Linked DNA regions of Coturnix japonica. The main gene of each other region encodes a partner of the protein of the gene in region 2 in a complex. Links are inferred from orthologs where the notes say so. Each region holds a gene or a part of one and is shown on either strand. Other genes may lie near its edges. The genes, in order: PEX5L and HCN2.

Region 1 (9,910 bases), on a different chromosome or scaffold from region 2:
ATTCTATTTGTTACTGTGACTTGTGGTTTCTACACTGAGTCTTGTTAATTAAATGCTTCATACGCATCATTAACAAAACTTTCAGCTTTTTAAAATTAATTTTGGGTTATGCGTTGCTCAAGTTTGTTATTCATTATAGTACACAAAGCACCTCAAACACCTCCTTTATGTGCCTTCCCTAAAGACGCCTAAATCACGGTAGCGTGTAAAAGTAAATACACAAATAGAAATAATTAGCACTTCTATCAGTGTGTGGTTGTACTGCTCATACCTTACTGCAATTAGAAGAAAAAGTCTAAATACAGTGTAATTAGAATCTGCCACACCAACAATATTATAAATAAATAAACATATTATTTTTAATGCTATGTTACTAATGAGATTTGAGACTATTAGTGCGTTAAATACTGAGCCCAATTTTCATGGGTTTTGCACTTCACTTGACTGTAAGAATAAAGCAGGTTTTTGGGGGGTCTATGTTTGCAGAAAATTAGGCCAATTATTTTCAGTTAGCAATAAAATGCTGTTTATGAAAATATTCGTTAGTATTAAGGTCAGCAAAGATCTATTTCTTAATAAAATTTGTAGATTAGGTCTCAATGAACCCAACGAGTTTCCACATATATAAATTACTTATCTCCATGGTTACATGAGCTCATAGACTGATGTTTTATTTAAGGTATATGCATCACAACATTAATCTCCTACTGAACAAAGCAGCAAATCTGTGTCTTTATGACCAAACATATGTTCCCATTGGGTGCTGGCAACAGAATCCATTGCCATACACGAGAAATACCAAACGGTTCAGAGAATCTCACACTGCACAGCAGAGCAGTGGAGACAAAAACTGGCTGTGCACGCACAGAACTGAGTTCCCCAAAGTTCTCTCTTAAAGTTTTGTTTCTGGAGCTGCAGGAACGCAGCATATCACAGGAAACAGCTGCCTCCAATGGCACTGAAAATCACTCTCAATTTCACCCTCTTCCATTGAGCACTTTTCATTGCACACAGCTTATAGCTATGGGAACTTCTCCTTCAGATTAACTGCGTCCCACATTCAGAAAGGTGTCCCTGCTGGAGAAGAGCACTTCAGTAGATGTTTCACACTGAGTATACATTTGCTACATTTCCTACACTAGAACATTCAGGTCTGTGTATGGTTGCGTGGCTTCCCTAACAAAAATTGTGACTTGCCCTTGCTGTGTGGTATCTTGCCATAGAAAACACAGACTCATTCATGTTAGTTTGTTAATGACAAATACTGTGACACTAGTTATTAACCTGGAGCCTATGTGCTTCACCTTTTGTGGTTTCAGAGCTGATGAGATAAAACTATTTCTTAGATGTCCTGGATGAAATAAACATTAGTAAGGCCTAAAAGAATGAAATACCAGCAGCTATCGAAAATCAAAATGCCTCCCAGTGGGAGTTAAATGTCAGCTTCTTGATGGTAATGAGGTAACTACCAGAACCTCCAAAAACACCTTGGGCAGGTCTGTAAATGCTCTCACAATCCCATTGTCATCCCTAGGCTTCCTGATTACCCTCATTGCCCCACATAAGTACTTGAAAACAAATTCTGAGCATTTATTTGTGAAATAAAGGATTTTTATTTGACTTTTAGCTAATTTTCCCCCATCAGTTTAATATTAATTAAAGTCTGTTGAGCCATATGGTGACTCTTCTTTAACAAACATTATGACTTTCATATTTTTCACCATGGTTTTTCCCATTTTTGCCATAACAAACAACAAAGCTTAGAGAGCTCACAGCACACAGATATCACTGGTTCAAGTCTTATTGCAGGCACACAAACTGCTATTAAAGGAACACAACAGAAAAAATGCTTTTCACAGAAACAAATGTTTTTAAAGCATTTTATGCAAGCAAACCCTGCGTAATTAAACATGCCCTATAACAAAACAGACCTTTACGCAGAGCAGAGTCACAAACAGCATGGATGCTGGCATTCACCATTTTCAAAGCTGCAAAGCCCTTATATTACACACCAGAACTGCAAACTAATATTTTCTGCCCCACATCCTGTGGCACATTTTTGATATTTTTATTTATAACTAAGCATTAATTATTATGCATCAGTTTCAGATTAGGAAGAGACAGAGAGAAAAACATGCTTAAGCTTAAGCTTCCTCTGGTGAATATAGCTGGAGCAACAGCAGTTTACAACTGGGGAAGCACGGTGCAACATGTACGTGATTTGCACTGAAGGATATTTAAAGAACAGCTCTTGGAGCAGAAACTGCTGCCATTCAACCAGTGATGCACACCCCCCCCCACTGCTTCCCCACTGCTCTGACTGCTGCTGTGTAACCTATTCCTCTTACTGTCTGGTGCCAAGTGACTTGAGTTCCCTGCTGAAAAGAAAGCCAGAAGCTGGATCCACCTGACATTCCTGGGTCCACCTGATCCTGAAAAATGCAGCATCAGTATGCCACTGTATCAACAAATGGAGCAACCAGTGCAGCCACTTCTGCTGAATAAAGAAAAAAAACCTACTTCAAAACACACTATGCTACAAAACCTCACATCTAGCACTGGGTCTTGCCAAATTTTACCAGTGTTTGCCTGGGAGGAAGGATGGAAGGGGGGCAGGAAGGAAAGGAGAAAGGAGGGAAGGAAGAAATCTTCAAAGAAAGCTTGTGAACCAGCTCAATGAGAGCAAAAAGAGTGCAGACACACGACGACTAGAGGCTTGAGAGCCTAACGCCTCTCTGTTTAACAAACAGCAGAGACACCAAGGCTCCAAGTTTATATAGAAGCAGCTAATTTTCATCTACACTTATCTTCTACACTGAGCACAGGGACTTCTCTTTGTAAAATCTATATTCTATATTTTATACCTTAAGTCAAACCACAATAATTCACATCCAATCTTGCCACTGATATGCAGTCAATTTCTGTATTACAAAGTAGCATTTCACAGTAAAATACATCTAATGCATACAGACAATCCCCAGAAACATATTTTAAGCGCATTTGCTCTTAATTGAGGTTTTCAAAGTAGCTTAAGGGATTTAGGTAGAAAAATATTCATTTTGCATTTCTTTTTTATCATCAACACATGAATAAACTCTCAGGCTGCATGAAAACCTTGGCAAGCTGGATGCACATTCATTGGATGTAAGACAACTGCCTCCTTTGCTATATGAAGGATAAAATGATAAGGTTAAGCAAAAGAAAAGGCTAGATTTTGCTGGTGCCATTCCTGATGACTTTACAAATCCCACCCCTTCCACACACCTTTCCCCCTCTCCCCTCCCCCCTTTTTTAGTTAAATATGAACATTTCAGTAAAACTGTGACTATACAGATGTGACAGCTCCAGGAATGAGAAACCTACTTTACACTGCTCTAATAGCAGAAGATGCTTGGGGTTAGTTTGCTGTGGTCACTCCGACGCAACATAAAAGTTCTGGGGAGTTTATCAGCAAAACTAGAGAGCTCAGAGCCGAAAAATCACAGCATCCAGCAAATGTCAGGCACTGAATGCTTATTGTGCTACTGAATACAGGTACGTCTACACCTACATTTTTTATCACATTGGAAGTTAAAGGTCTGAGGAAAGGGAAAGGGAAAAAAAGCTCGATCCAAGGCAAGGTGAGCAGCAGCTTCAGGACGCCGCAGGCCCGATGTGCCAGTTTACATACAAGGTCACCGCGCTGCTCCGGGACACCCAACTCTCCCCGCACCGCAGCAGCAGCTGCACGGGGGAGCGGGGCGGCCGGGAGGGGCGGGGCGCTCCGACTTTTGGTGGTGCTGTCACGCTTACGTTTTGACACGTACACGTATATTTCATTTCAATTTTTAAAAAAAATTTAATATTATTATTTTAAGCGTTATCGCTACTCTTTATATTCCTTGCTGCAGCGGAAGCCCGCAGGCCCCAGCGGGGCTGCAGCTCCCCGGGACCCGCTTCGCTCCGCGGGCTCCGCGCGTCCCCCGGAAGCCGCGCGCTCCCTCTGCGGCCGGAGGGAGGCAGGGAAGGAGGGAGGAAGAGTGAGAGGAGGAGAAGAGGAGGAGGGCGGCGGAGGCCGGGGCCGGGCGGGGCGGCGGCAGCATCGGGCCGAGCCCAGGCCCGGCAGCGGGCGGCCCCGCTCCGCCCCGCGGCGCTCCCCGCCCGGCGGCCCCGCAGCCGCCGCCGCCGCGGCCCGGCCCGCCCTGCCCTCCCCCCAGCACCCCGCGAGGAACAGCTCCGTGCAGCTTGCGGCACCGCATTGAAGGGGGAGAGAGGGAGAAGAGAGACGAGAGGGGAGGAAGGAGGGAAGGAAGCAGCCCGCCTGGTCGGGTTACCGAGAGCAATACGGGAGCTTCCAGGACAAACTGAATCTTTCCCAAAAATAGCTCTTCCAGGGTTAGGCTCTTTTTTTCTTTTATTCTTTTTTTTTTTTTTTTTTTTTCCCTTTCAGCCGAGCGCACAGGAGAGGTGCCCCCTCCCAGCGTGCACCCGACCCGCCGGCCTGAGGGGCACCCGCAGCACAGCCGGCAGAATGTACCAGGGCCACATGCAGGTAAGAGGCTGCACGCAGCCGGACAGCAGCAGCAGTGCAGGCGGCTCCGCCGGAACGGGTCCCTGCGAAGTTTCCGCGGGGTGAGCGGGGGGTGTGGAGGGGGATGGCACAGGGCACCGTGCAACAAGTGAGACGGGGCCGAGCGAGGGGGACAGCGCGCCTGGGGGCAGCTCTGCTCAAAGGGGGAGGGCGGCAAAGGGGCGCGCTCAACTTTCTAACTAGATGAAGTTGTGTATTTATTGATGTATAGTGCCTGCTTGTTCACACAGATTCGAGGGAGCATTCCAGGGCAAACGCTGCTATGGCACGCTTTAAGTGACACATGGCTCTTGCCATCTTCTTGATGCATCTCTTCCTGTATGTCAAGTGAAGGACAAACAATAAGGGAAAAGACAGAGCACTTGCTTTGCAAAATCTGCAAAGATTTCATGTCACACTGAAGCTGTTGATTTGCACAATGTGTTGTGTTAAAAGGTGATGGATTTCTATTTCCTCCTTCCCAACGTGGGATGAGGATTGATTTTGCTAAGCCCTGGAATGACTTTGTAGAGTGAATTTCAAACACATGTCTAAGTGACTTCAACATTTGAGGCAGAAATCTTGCCTCCTGCTGCTATTGATCCACAGTGCCATAGCAGACAATGCCTCTCCCAAATAAAAACACACGGGTGCCTTGGACGTGATGACTTTAACCTTGGCTCCTGCTCTCCTTCACATGGCTCTTCCCTGGAAAGCCAAAGCTATTTTGAAGGAGAAGGACATGCCAAAGCAGAGCAAAGGTTTACACAGCTCTCCCAAATTTCTTTCTTTGCTTTCAGACCCAATCTGGGTCTGCACTCACTGTGAGGAATGACAAGATGCTTTTATCATGTACAGTGGCACCGGTGGCGTTTGTTAGTACTGAGGCTGTTTGCAGAGCACTGCCGCTCTGGTAGGTGTGAGCTGCCCCCTTCTCTTTGGTGCAACTGCACAGCATTTAAAACCTGCCAGTGGTCATCAGGAACATTCAAGTCAATGTCAAACACAGGAGTGTGGACATAATATGTGTTAAACGAGGATTTGATTCAGCACTCTGACCCAAATGATACCAGTTACTCTTTCATGTTGGTGCTGCCTGATTTCAACAATGATAAATAACGTGTCACAAAGGAGCTTGCCATAGAAGAGCAAATATGTTTTAACAGGAGATGCAATCAATATACATTTTGCTATTTATGATAATAAGATTAAAGCATGCATTGTTTTATGGTAACACAAAAACAATCCTGTTGCAGAAGTTAATGAATTGGATACTGACAAATAAGTATTTATACCCAGAAGAAAGCAGTTCTTTGCTATGGCCAATACACCACAAGGTTTCAACATACAACACTTTTTAAAAGGAAGTGTAGTGGAACACTGAGGTCCCTGGCAACCTTGTAAGCTGTCTCCATCATTAAAAGGCCAAATCAAATTTGCAATTAAAAAACAAACAAACAAAAAACAACAGCTCAAAACACCCTTTCATTTTTGTTTTCTTTCAAAATACATTCATAGCTCAAATGTAACCCAATCCTATCCAAATTCACTTTACAACTTAGCTGATTTAAAATGCTATTCAGATCCACTGCACTTGTCTGCTAAAAAAATAGGAACTCAGCTGAGCACATAAGCCAAGGTTTTTAATATATTTCTGCCCTAACAGGAAACATCAATCTTCTTCAAAAACCACCTAAAAAAAGCTTAAAGCATTAGGAAAAATGTTTGTGTTTACTATATCCTTAATTAGAGCCTTTAAGTGAGTCACAGAAAAGACAATAAAGAGCTAATTAAATTGCAGTGAAATTATCTACTGTAACATTTATTAAACCTCATTAGAACGCAAACTGCCAGTTACCTACAAGCACAGTACCCAACCATTGCTAACCAAAACACAGACACGTCCCAGGCATGACAGGTCCCTTCTGAACACCTTCCAAAACTTTTTGTAAGACCTTTACTAATGTAAGGAAAACTATTTGCAATTACCTGTCAATGTAAAATGAATGCGAACTATAAAACCATTCAGATTTGAGTGGATTAAGTTAGGCACCTAAGTCAATAATACCTGAACTCGTTAATAACAATAATCTGGGTTATCAAGGCTCTGAGCACTCACAGCTTCCGCTGCTTTTGAATGAAATCCTAACTGAGCACCTAAGCATCAAGTGTTACGTATCCTGTTGAAAAGCATGCAGATACATAAAGGTTGACCCCACACACTTTAAGGCGAAAGTTCTTCTGAATGTACAGTGATCAAATTTAGGATCTGATTTAGAATGCCAGCTGTCATTTCCTTTATTCCTTGTGTTTTGGTCTCAGAAGTAAGGTCTGCAGAAATTACTCCTCAATATAATTAGTTAAAAACTTTACAAAGCCAATATTTTATCAATGACCAGCTGTAACTCAGCTAATTCTTCCAGGTCTTCTAAAAACTGAAAACATTATCAACTATCACAACATAATGAACATAATTTCCTCAGACTGCAAACCTGCCTCAAACAGGCATCAAGCATTGTGAGCTTCAGTGGAGCATTTCTGAGTTCAGTGAATTCTGCAGGTGTAGGTGAAATATACTTTGTGTACTGCTGAAGTCACCTGAAATGAAGACATTTGAAGCACTATACTGCATCAGGCCATAGTAAGTGCATCTCTTCTTAAATTTTAGTTTGCAGTACGTTGTTTTTTCTCAGTCTCAGGAAGATACTTGGCTTATCCTGAGGACCTAGGCTTACATTTCCCACTTATAAGTCAATCTTCACAATACAGAAACACTATTTCTAAGCTAAAATCCCAGACAGAGGGGAAAAAAAAACAAAAACAACAGAATAAGGCAATAACCTCACAAGAAGGTGTTACTGGCTCAGCCACTGACTCGATATTCCCCGGTACCGTTCTTAAGGGTTGGTTTCTGATTCCTTCTGCACTGCATGCTTTCACATAAAAGACCAGGAGAAAAGCAACGGCCTTCCACAGAGGCAAGAAACAGAAACAGGATGCAAGGAAGAACACTGCCATGGGAGCTCCCTCACAGCTATTACTCTATCACAACCATTTCATTTTGGTGTACTGTTTACCAGCCTGTTTGTTTCATGTGGCTGAAGCTTGAGCCTTCATGGCAAGGCTTTTGCATGATAAGAACCTGAGATTAGCTGTGCATACCTCCAGTTACATAAGCAGCCCTACTGAATTCCAGGAAAGTCAGATGTTGACAGGACAAAGGCTGATGGCTACAGGGTAATACCTAAGTTACACTTCAGGTAACACCTCAGCAGTTCTAGGGGCCCTCCTGCCTTTTTTGGGATTACAGAGATACGTGACTCCAAATCTGAACTGCACAGGTGAAGGAGAGAGTATTTCTTTACTAGGGCACGTTTACCATCTTCTTCAAGGGAACAATAGCAGGCCAGATGGAAGCAGAACATGAGCTGAGTTCATCCCACAGTCACTGCTCTAAAATGTCTATCATTTTAACAACCAACAATAATACATTTAAAATTTTTCACAGTGTATTTTATACTTGGTATCAATCCCTCCCATTGACTTTTATGATAGCTCTACAAATGGATGGAAAGTAAATGACAATCATAGAATTGGATTTTCAGCAGCTTTCAGCTTCTTAGGAAATACAGAAGAAATGCTTTCAAACCTCTTTGCCTTGATGCTGTACACAGTCAGCTTTCTCCAGCACAAATGCTTGAACAGAAGAGGTGCTTTGCCAAATGCTGGCATGGGATTTTATGTGTTATGTTTGGAAATGGCTTTATTTAGATAAAGCAGAAATCTTGACCACACATGGCTATCAGAGTGAGTTCCTTTGGCACGTTTTTGCAAGAACAGACTCAAAGTGATGATGTGTTGGCCAAGTTCCAGATCAGACAGTTAGTCTCCTCAACTTTTAATTGAATATGCAATCAACTTCATGCCCATAATTGTTGGGTTGCGTTCTGCACTGTTAAAGATACTTAATGTTCTACCATTGGCATTTCACATTTAGATGAAGCCAACCATAATGATCACTCACATTTCTGTAAAATCTCATTATTTAAGCCCAAACATGCAGGACTGCAGTAGGTCTATGAAAAAATCACCATGTATGCATGACAATTCTTGCATAATTAAACTTCAGGGGCTCAACGCGTTTTATTGCACACAAAAAGTGTTGATAAATATTTTAGAAGTTATAAAATACATTTTTGCTCTGATTTCCCAACACTTAAGACACAGTTTCCTCACTGGGAAAAGTGGAGCAGAATGTCACAGAATTAGTTGCTGATGCAAGTCCCATCTTTGCTTATTTGGTACCTATTAAAAATACTGTAACAGCATTGGTTGCACTACTTAAAATAAGTAAAACTCAAGCTATTCATCAATTATGGTTACAAAAATGGAATTGCTCAGCTATGCACTTTGTACATGAATAAAGCAGCCCATAAAAATATGCACAATGTAGAATTGAATTCAATGCTAAATTGAATCTTTGTTCAGCTGTTAAGATCAACAGAAACTTAATGACTTTAAGCTACAAAATTCTACAAGTCTGAGCATGAGCTGGAATGCCAACTGATCCCTAGCGATGTGGATGAATCATAACTCCCAGCCTTACTGAAACTCCATTATGATAAACTGATGATTTTTCATTATTCAAACGTTTTCTAAAAGTACTTACAATACTATGGCAGTGTTTATGGTGGCAGGTTTTCCGTTTTGTTTTGATATTTTCCAATTACTCACTAGTAGCTTTTCAGTTTTTGAAGAGTGGATTATAAACTGCTTATAAATGAAGCAAGCTAAAAATAATGAGTTAGTTTTCATTGAAAGATATTCATACAAAGAGAGTAGGTGATAAACTGCTTTTGGCTAAGAGGCATACCGAAATTATACGAATGCAGAGTATTTGCAGTGCTGGTATGGAAAAGCATTCCTTGAAGCTGCTAGGCAGTCTTACAAGAACCCAGTAGAAAAGCTTACAAAAGGCACATAAGCTCATGGAATTCAGTGTATTTTTGCTGGAAGGGAATTAAGAGGGACTCTTGGAATCAAGAGAAATCCTAAATTGTAAGGGACCCACAAGGATCATTGAGTCCATCTCCTGGTTCCACACAGGACCACCCAAAATCCAAACCCCGTATCTGAGAGCATGTGTCCAGTCACTCCCTGAGCTCCATCAGGCTCAGTGCTGTGACCACATATGTGGGAAGCTTGTTCCACACCCACCATGCTCTCATCAAGAACCTTTTCCCAATGCTCAGCCTGACCCTCCTCTGACACAGCTCCAAGCTGTTCCTTTGAACCTTGCATATTTATCTAAATGATATTCTATTTCAAATATGTAGCTTTCACAAAAGAGGCACTGTTTGC
Region 2 (9,875 bases):
TTTCCCCTCCCTGCAGCCATGGGCTCATCCTGCTGGTTATAGGGGGCTGTCCTGCATCAAGAAGAGCCTTTAACCCACACTGTAGTGCAAGTGCTTGGGAAGGAGGCATTGCTATGAAGTTCAGGCACAGGCCAGCAGGAGTCTGATAAGGAACTGCTAAATTGGGACAGTGGGAGAGACATGGAATAAAGCATTGGGCTGTACAGCATGGGAGGGTCAGGGCTGCCTGATTCCTCCAGCATGGGGTGGGTTGAGCTCACAGCTTTGCTTAAGGCAGCTGTTGTCCTTATCCTTTATCACCTCCCAGCACAGCCTCGCTGGGTTCCCTAATTTCCTTTTCTTTTCTCTTGCACCAGGTGACGTGTAGCTGAAGAACTTTGTCTGGACATTGTTTTCTTCTCATTTTTCTTTGGTAAAATAGCACCAGGAAATACTTAGCGTGTCCTTCAGTTACTTCACTTTCTACAGGAAATTAAGTCGTAGAATCTAAAACACACCCTTTTTTTTTTGGGAAAAAAGAATAAAAGGAAGAGCTGTGGGAGGGTTTTGGGTTGTTTTTCTACCTGTAAGCATAAATCCCTTTTATTTTCTGGTAGTTTGGATCACTGTCATAGATGTATTTCTTTATGTAGGGGGGTAATGCTTTCTTTCTTACCTTTGGGAAGAGCTGTGTTGGGTAGGATGACTTTGTAATACCTCTGTGTATGAGGAGCAGCAACATCACAGCTCCCTGTGTGCTGCAGGTCAGGAAGAAACTGCTGTAGTAACCTATGGAGATGAGCTGATCTCCCAATGGGCTTAAGAAAGTAACTCTGGGTCTTTCCCAGTGCAGAGCATAGATAGCTGCATCTTTGCATGGCTTGGGAGCAGCCTGCATGGCTTGTAATTGCCAGGCTTCCTGGTCAGCTCCCACAGGGATGCTCTGCGTGATTACAATCAAGCAGGCAACCAGGAAGCAGTGTTAGAGCTGGGCATTGGCTGAGCATGATAATAACTCATTTAATGGGTGGCTGCTGGAATCTTGAGTTGCTACACTGGAGTGAGCAGATGCTGGGGCTGAGGTGCTGGGGGAGAAGGGGGGTTTGCATTGTGTTCTGTTCACATTTGGGGTGACAAAGGAGACTGAGAGCAGATAATAATCAGAGGATTCTTTCTTTCTGGGTAGCACTGAGCTGATCCATCTGTTAACGTACTTCACAAATAAAGATGATTCCTCTCTTTTTTTCCATCTTGGTTTGGACTCTGGTCTCTCTCTTCCCTCCTGGCTGGGCCCCCTGGGTTTGTTATCCTGCTTTGACCCCTGCCTGGCAGCTCTTCATAGAGCACACAAAGGTTTTGGCTCCCAGGGTCTCCTGCCAGCTCTATCTGCTCTCTAATCACAGTGTTACACTGAGTCAGGTTCAAACCCTTCCAAAAGGAGTTAAGTGGAGCTTCCTGAGGAGCACTGCTGTTTTTCTACCTGTTTTCATGGTTCTTGCCCTGCTGTGTGGTTACTCATGGCTCTAAGCAGCTGATGGGCACTGTGTGCATTATGTAGATATGGAGACAAGCCAAAGGGAAGCACACACCAACCCCTTGGGTATGGGCTATGAGCACTGTGGTGTCTTTCCAGGCAAGCTCTGGCTTTTTGCCCTATGGCAGCTGGGCTTGTGGGTTCCTGGAGATTCTGATCTTGTGTTCTCAGTTGTTTGGGTGTTCATCTAACTGTCCAAGCGGGGCTGGGTGAGCAAATGGGCTGCAGCAGGTAGAGGCAATGGGTTACAGTGCAAAAAGCACCAGCAAAAGGCTCAGGAGCCTGAAAGGGCTCTTAAGTTTCATCTGTGTGTTTCCTTTAGGCTGGGAATGAACATACTTAAAGGTGATGGACTCAGCATCAACCACCTGAATACCTGTAGGGAAAGCAATTGGTGCCAATGGCCCTGGCAATAGCTGTGCATGGGGAGCTGCTGGGACTGGTCAGTGCCTGCAATGAAAGGCAGGTGAGGGCAGGCTGGATAAGAGCTGGTAAAAGCAATAAAGCACGGCTGGCTGCTTGACTCCCAGCTGCTGCCTTTGCTGTAATGGGGCTGATGCATGAACATCCTCACTACGAAGTCAAACCCTGTTCTGTTGGGGGGGGATGATTACAGCAGGGCTCTTCCCTTAGTGCTGTGTTGCCTGTAGCTCTGGCAGCCCAGGGCCTTCCTCAAAACGCTGCTGTCTCAGTGTTAGCAGCTCCCATGCCCCGGGCTGACCATGCAGTGTGGCTGTGCTGCACGTCAATGTATTATGCAAGCCCTGGCACAGCCGGCCTCGTGCTTATGGGTGCTGTCCTGGGGGGTGGAGAGAGAGGGGGAAAAAAAAAATCAATGTGTGGCTTAATTTCCTCGTTGAGGATTTGGGACCTGGGCTGCAGCACAAAGCTCTGTTTGTGCCCTTTGTTCTATGGGGCTGGCAATGGGTGAGGAGCAGCTCGGGGTTGGGGGGATGCATGGCTCCGTGCTGCGCTCTGCTGGGCTGCTGTCCCGTTTGTGTCTCTGTCCTGCATTGCTCAGCTGATGGTGTTCCCACCCCATTTGTCCCCGTGTCTCTTGCTCATGTCAGCATGCAATGCTCTGTGTGACTCTGTGTGACTGTGGGGGCTTGGATCAGACAGGGGCAGGTGGGGAATTGAATGATAAAGGTTGGAAAGGACTTGTAATATCACCACATCCCAAGCCATCCCCTCCATGACCATTAACATCCCTCAGTGCTACATCTGCATGTATTTAAACACATCCAGAGGTGATGCCTCCAATGCTTCCCTGGGCAGCCTGTCCCTATTCCATTGCCACTTTCTGAGATGAATTTCTTTCCTAGTATCCAACCTGAACCTAAACCTCATCCTAAAGGCTGCGCTCGAAGGGGCGGCCCCGACTGCAGGTTCCGATCGCGGCTCCCGTTCTATTTGGCCTCTCAGGAGCCGACCCTCTCGTTGCTGATCCCGTGCTCTCCATCCTTCGAACCCTTTGGGCATCTCCATTCGTTGGCCTCGGGGCTGCGCTGAGGGCTCGGGTTGAGCTTCGTCTGTTGCAACGCTGGATGGGAGCGATGTGAGCGCAGCCGGGAGCTGCTCCAGCGGGGGGAGCTGCGGAGCCGCTGCGGTCCCGTCTCCCGGCCCGGCCCTACGACCCGCCCCCGGTCCGCCCCACGGCTCGGCGGCGGGTACCGCTCCGGTACCGCTCGGGTACCACTCGGCCGCCGGTGGCCTCGGCGGCAGCGCACGATGCGATCGGGAGGGGAGGCGGCGGCCGAGGAGGAGGCGGCCGAAGGGGCCAAACGAGGCGGAGGAGCGACCTCGGGGAGAGCGAGGGGCCGAGGGGGAAAGGGATCCCCGAACGGGGAGTGTCGCCGAGGGGAGACGCCGCGCAGCCCCAGCTCCGAGCAGCCCCGGGAGCCCAAGGTCTCCTTCTCCTGCGGTGGTGGTGGTGGCGGTGGCAGCGCATCCCCAGGCGGGGCCAAGGCGGCCGAAGAAGGCGACGATGCGGGCGAGGAGGTTCGGGGGAGCCAAGCCGGGTTCATGCAGAGGCAGTTCGGGGCCATGCTCCAGCCGGGGGTCAACAAATTCTCCTTGAGGATGTTTGGCAGCCAGAAGGCGGTGGAGAGGGAGCAGGAAAGGGTTAAGTCTGCTGGGGTCTGGATCATCCATCCCTACAGCGATTTCAGGTACGTGCCCAGCCGCCCCCCCCCCTCCCCTCTCCTTCCTTCCCTCCCGTGCATCCTCACGGAGCCCCGGGAGCAATTGCGGGTATCGCTGCGGTGGGGCCAGGCTCGAGCATCCCCGGCTCGTCGGGAGGCTTCGGTGAGGGTGGTGGATGGAGAGGGAGAGCGGAGCGTTCCCCCACCGCTTCAGGTTGGGAAGAGGAGGAGGAGAAGGCCGTGCCGTGCCCTGGAGAGGGCACCTTGAGCCGTGCTGGAGGTGGAAGCGGCGGATGCGGCCGCGTGGATGCAGGGAGGGGCTGGAGATGGGCATCCACCTCCTCGGGATCCATCCGGGGATGCCAGGAGCTCTCTGCTTGCCCGGTGGGTGCCCGCACAAGGGCATCCTCTCGTCCTTTGCAGGGCCTCGGAACGGCTCAGCAAGGCAAGGAGACGCTGGAGATCCCGCGGGGGTTGGTTGGGCTCTGCCCCTGTGGCTGTCATTGCGGGGGCTGAGGGGGGAGGTGGAACAGAGCACCCTGGGGTCCTTAAGCCCTGCTATCCTGCTGCAACCTCCACGGCCATGCACAGCTTTGGGAAAGCTTCCCTTCCCCCAAGGAGGCCCAATCCCATCCCTAAGATTCAATGAATATGAAGAGATATTCGTTTTGTTCCCAGGAGGAGCAGTGTCCCCGAGGTGCAGCTTCCAGCTGAGGAATGGCAAAGCCTGGAAGAAAGGTCGTGCAGCACCAGCTTGTGTCCATCTCCCTAATGGGGAGAGATCAGCAGGGAATGCTTGGAGGCTCCCATGGGGATGTAAAGGAGGGACAGCACAACCCTTTTAGGGATGGGAAGCTGAGATCCTGCTGACATCCTTGGCAAGCGAGGCTGATGGGAGCCCCTTATCCAGTGACTGGCCAAAGGCAGGGGGCCAGCAGGCAGCTCAGCACTGAGTCCCTCTGCACTTTCCTAGTGCTTGGAGGGCTGCACTACAGGGCGAGTGAGCATCTGTTGGGGTTCTGTTGAATCCCCTGTGATGCAGAGGTCCTCAGGGCAGTGGAGGAGGCTGTGGAATGAGAGTCTGTGCTGACCAGACAGGATTATGGCAAGGACCAACGCCTGCATCTCTTGGGTCCTGGCCTCACGATGGCTTCTGTGCTGCTCTGCATCCTCTGAGGTGCAAGCAGGGGCAGCTGGAGGCTCCAGTTTGCTCTCCTTGTACACACAGTCGTGCAGCCACGGGGCTGATATTCCTGCCCAGATCCCACTGCGGGTGCTGCCCCTCCTTGCTGCAGAGTCAGGGTGTGAGTGCTGCGTGGCTTTGCCGGTCACAAGGGTGCTCTCATGGGGGCTGCACCATCCTGCTGTGACCACCTTTATCCCCAAGCCATGTGGGTTCCCCATCAGCCATGGGTGTTCCTGGGGAGCTGACTCTGGTTTTCACCTCTCTTAGTCTCAGGGCTCTCAGGAATAGGGTGAATGTGTGGCCTCACTGTCCCCATGCTGACAGTGCTGGTGTGACATCAAGCTGGCATCACTCAGAGCTGGATCCTCTCTGCAGGCGACCTTGGGGGTGTCACCCTGCCACTCTGTCCCCTCCCAGAGCTTCTGCCATTGAAACCACTGGGGCAGAGCTCCTGTGTGTGCTGTGATGCTGCATGTGGCATATAAGAGTTCCCTGCTTGGTGGGGAGGAGCCACGAGGAGAACCAATGCGTTATCCCCAACCTAACAATGTGCAAAATAAACAAGATTGGTTCAGTGTGGGGCTGGGAGCTCAGCAGTGAGGAGCCCACTCCACTCATGCATGCTTGGTACGTATGCCTATGTATTTCACATCGTTCCCATCAATGTATATATAGATATATATATATGTGCTATCTGATAATGATAATGGGAACATGGACACATCCATGTTTGCCCTGTTCAAAGCCCATTTTCTTATCTTAAGATATAACCATTGCCCATCTGCATATGTGACATCATTTCATAATCAGAGGCATTTGGAGGTCTGTTTCCTCGTGGACTCAGCAGTGATTATTCATGCAGAATTTAGGGGCAGATTTGCTCCGGGAACAAAAGTGGCTGTTTACATAAATACTGAATTATTAGGAAGCAGCACGGGTGGCTGTTTGAGATCATGGGCTGCAAATCTGATCAAAGAAACCTCATCCATCGTGCAGGAGGTAACGTTGAGCAGAGCCACCTCATTGCTGGGCTCTGTGATGGGTTGTCATTTCTCCTTCTGGTCTATAGGGATGGAGGAAATAAAGGGCAGGCAATGATGTTAACATGAGCTCTGTGTTTTTGTGTAGCTTGAGTTGGAGCAGGGCTGGGAGTCAGGGTCAGTTGTGGGCTAAGCTTTGCAGTGAATCTGGGTTTGCTGTTGAACCAGGTGCTGTATTTGCATCCTGATAAGGACCTGAGTGAGTGTCTCATGGCTGGGGGTTGGAACTGGAGGAGCACAGTGTTTTTTGCAGCAGGATCAGGGAGCTGTGGGGTGCTGGGGGTCCCTTCCCATTGGAGACATGAATGAGCTCAGTAGGATCCTTCAGCCCCAGAAGGAGGGCTCAGCCTTGGAGCTGCATTAGTAACATGAGCTGCACGCAGGGGTGGTTCATTGGATCACGATGGACCCTGCTGCCCTCAGCATCACTTTGCCTGCTGCTGCTGTTGGCTTTCTGCTCCCTGTGCCCAGTGCAGGGCTGGCACTGTCTGCTGCCACCTCCCTCATGCTGGAGTGAAATGGCTCCTGCTGCTCCACTGCTGGCTGCCAGCTGTGTGCCCTGCAGGGTGACCTGGCCTTGCTCTGAATCCCAATGGGAACAATGTAAATGCCACTGCTAGGTGCTTGCTGACGATCCCACTGTTAATTATCCCCGATGACAGCAGCTGGGAACAGGATGAATGTGAGCACAGCAGACCTGATGGATGGCTGAAAGCCACAGCTTACTCATCAGGAAAAAAAGGCTGTGACTGCCTGCCTGGGGGTGACTTTACAGGTTGGTGCCTTTGAGCATTTTGCAAATATAATATACAATATATGCCTCTGCTTGGGCCCAGCTCCTGGTGGTGGCTTCGTAACCCACTTTTCCACGTGTCCTCAATTCGAAGGAACTTTGTATATTTGTGACAGGTTTGTGAATCGCTGCTCCCGCTGTGTGAGCTGTGATGCCTGCACGGTCCCTGTAGTGGTTGCATTCTGTGCTGGGGCAATAGAAGTGAATGGGGACATCCCCTACCCTCTCTTCCCATTGGGGATGGGGTCCTGGGCTCCTTTAGCTGCTGCTGGTGGTGGGTTGGGGCAGCTGATGGAGTGAGGACAGGCACTATACCCACCCTCAGTGTCTGCCAGCATCTCCTGTGGTTCAATTAGGTCAGAAGTAAAGGAGATGGGGGAGGTAGGGGGGGGCAAGGATCCTAATTAATTTATTTTGGGATATTTTTAGCAACCTGGACTGAATCTTATCTTTTATGCACACGCTGCCCTCCAAAGAACAAAGCATTGGTGTTGCAGCAGGGGTTGCTCGGGATCAGCCCTGTCTCTATTGGGTTGAGACTGTCTCTGTTAAGGTGCTCAGGACCAGTTGCTCTTTCCAGGCCCTCATTCCCCTCTATGGGGTCCTGCAACCTCAGCATCGCAGTAGAGCCTCGGTGCCCCCCACCCACTCACCATCACCCCCCCTATGTCACCAAGGGCTGCACTGTTCCAGCAGCCAGATCTGGTCCTTGGGGTTGGCTGTGAAGGGAAGAGCACAGCCTGTCCCTTTCAGGCTGCCAGCTTGTGGAGGGGCACTGGGTGTGAAGTCATGGTTGTGCAGCAGTGACATCACTTGTGGTTGCCATGGCTATGTCTCACATGGGGAAGGTGTCATTGGAGAAAGGTCACAAGCTGGGATATGCTCAGCTCCTTCCAACCCTATACCAAGTGCGGGGGGAAGGTGGGCAGCTTGGCCCCGCATGGAGCTGCAGCCCTGACAACAACGGGGCTGAATGTCCTGCTGTGACCTTGGTGCATGCAGGAAGGACATGGGCGGAAGGATGAGAGCCAGGAGAAGTGGGGGGCTGAGGCAGCAGTGATGCAGAAGGGAGGGGGAGGCATTTTGATCACTCCTTCCTTGTTCTCCCTCCTTGCTCCAGCTGCAGCTGGACGTGACCATCTGCTGTTCCCCCCCCTACACACCCCTGTAGAGTCCCCCATTGGGTTCTGGCAGGGATGTGGAGTGCTGGTGCTTGAGGTTCCCCAGCCATAATAACCCACTCTCAAGGTCTCCCCAAATTGCTTCAGAGCTTGTCTGGCTTTTGGTGCTGACTCAGTCAGACCCCACAGCCCTGAGACCCCACACTGCACCCATTGCACTGCACAGCCCCATAGCAAAGTGCTTCTGGGCCTGGAAGTGGTACAACCTCAATTCATCCCTTGGGGACTTGCAGCTCCTGCCACCATCCATAAGGACACGACATTGCCATATTGGGGTCCAGTGATCCCCTCCCTCCTCTGTGCCCCTCCAGGTTTTACTGGGATTTCACCATGCTGCTCTTGATGGTGGGCAACCTGATCATCATCCCCGTGGGCATCACCTTCTTCAAGGATGAAAACACTACCCCATGGATTGTCTTCAACGTGGTTTCGGACACGTTCTTCCTGATCGACCTTGTCCTCAACTTCCGAACTGGCATCGTGGTGGAGGACAACACCGAGATCATCCTGGACCCTGAAAGGATCAAGAAGAAGTACCTCAAGACGTGGTTCGTGGTGGATTTTGTCTCTTCCATCCCTGTGGATTATATCTTTCTCATTGTGGAGAAGGGCATCGACTCGGAGGTGTATAAAACAGCCCGTGCTCTCCGCATTGTCCGCTTCACTAAGATCCTCAGCCTGCTGCGCCTGCTGCGGCTCTCCCGTCTCATCCGCTATATCCACCAGTGGGAAGAGGTAAAGGCTGCTGGGCTGGGGGCATCTGGGGCCAGAGGGATATATACAGAGGTGTATATACAGACAGGAAGGTGCTGGCTTTGAGAGTAACCCTGCAGGGAAAGACGTGAGGGGTTCTGGTGGGGGTAGGACTTAACGTGAGGCAGCTGGGTGCTCTTGTAGCTCAGAGAGCAAATGGGATCCATCAGAAGCAGGGATAGGGAAGTGATTGTCCCTCTCTGCTCTGCCCTCATGAGGACCCATCTGTAGTGCTGTGTTGAGGTCTTGGACCCCAATATAAGAAAGACAGGGAGCTGTTGGAGAGGGTCCAGAGGAGGCCATAAGGATGCTCAGAGGGCTGCAGCACCTCCCCTGCAGAGATGGGATGAAGGAGCTGGGCTTGTTCAGCATGGAGAAGGCTGCGGGGTGACCTCATTGCAGCCTTCCAGTATTTAAAGGGAGCCTATAAACAAGAGGGGAGTCAACTCTTTGAAAGGGTGGATAACAGCCGGACAAGGGGAAATGGTTTTAAGTTGAAGGAAGGAAGATTTAGGTTGGATATCAGGGGGAAGATCTTTACTCTGAGAGTGGGGAGGTGCTGGAACAGCTGCCCAGAGAGGCTGTGGATGCCCTGTCCATCCCTAGAGGTGTTCAAGGCCAGGTTGGATGTGGGCCTGGGCAGCCTGGACTGGTATTAAATATGGAGGTTGGCAGCTCTGCCTGCATTGGGGGGGTTGGAGCTTCACGATCCTTGAGGTCCCTTCCAACCCAAACCATTCTATGATTCTATGGATGCTCCAAACAGCACCAGCACCTCAGGGATGCCCCAGGAGGGACTTGAGGTGACATCCCTGAGGGTCCCCACCACCAGCCCTCCTGTCTGCCCCTGCCATGGGTCCAACTCTTTCCCCTTTTCACTTTCAAAAGGGGAAGCAGCACAGAGAACCCTGCGGATGAGCCGAGCCAGCGCGTGGCTTAGCAGATTATCCTGATAATCACATCTGCTTACAAAGGGATGGAAGGGGAGGGCAGCCAGACCTGGTGTGCCTTGGGTTGTGCAGCCCTTTGCAGTGTGGGGCAAAGCAGAGCATGTGCTGGCACTGCAGTCCCATGATTATCATTGTGTCCCACCAATGGCTCCAGCAGGGCTGTGATACTCCTCCTCCTGCCCTCCTTGTGTCCCCAAATGGACCCAGCAGCCCATAGAGCCCAGAGCTGAATGTAGGGGATGTGGATGTAGTGACTTTGCTGTACCTTTGTCCTGCCCTTGCCATGCCCTTGCTGTGCCAGCTGCTTCATACAGT

What was found.
Region 1: the proteins of HCN2 (region 2) and PEX5L are in contact, whole or in part, in a crystal structure (PDB 4EQF), measured with the Mus musculus proteins. The link is inferred for Coturnix japonica from reciprocal best matches to the Homo sapiens genes HCN2 and PEX5L. Residues at the interface, in NP_032252.1 of Mus musculus: Leu859, Ser860, Ser861, Asn862, Leu863; in NP_001156988.1 of Mus musculus: Glu315, Glu317, Val343, Asn347, His426, Asn453, Arg454, Ala457, Thr458, Ala460, Asn461, Tyr472, Arg484, Tyr487, Asn488, Ile491, Ile494, Ile537.

The regions. Positions count from the first base shown.
Region 1 is NC_029524.1:15,206,862-15,216,771, forward strand, and holds the start of PEX5L (PEX5-related protein), read left to right. Parts: upstream 1-4,164; 5' UTR 4,165-4,510; coding exon 4,511-4,531; intron 4,532-9,910. UniProt on the Homo sapiens protein: Accessory subunit of hyperpolarization-activated cyclic nucleotide-gated (HCN) channels, regulating their cell-surface expression and cyclic nucleotide dependence.
Region 2 is NC_029543.1:1,785,289-1,795,163, forward strand, and holds the start of HCN2 (potassium/sodium hyperpolarization-activated cyclic nucleotide-gated channel 2), read left to right. Parts: upstream 1-3,244; coding exon 3,245-3,684; intron 3,685-8,168; coding exon 8,169-8,592; intron 8,593-9,875. UniProt on the Homo sapiens protein: Hyperpolarization-activated ion channel that is permeable to sodium and potassium ions. Displays lower selectivity for K(+) over Na(+) ions. Contributes to the native pacemaker currents in heart (If) and in neurons (Ih).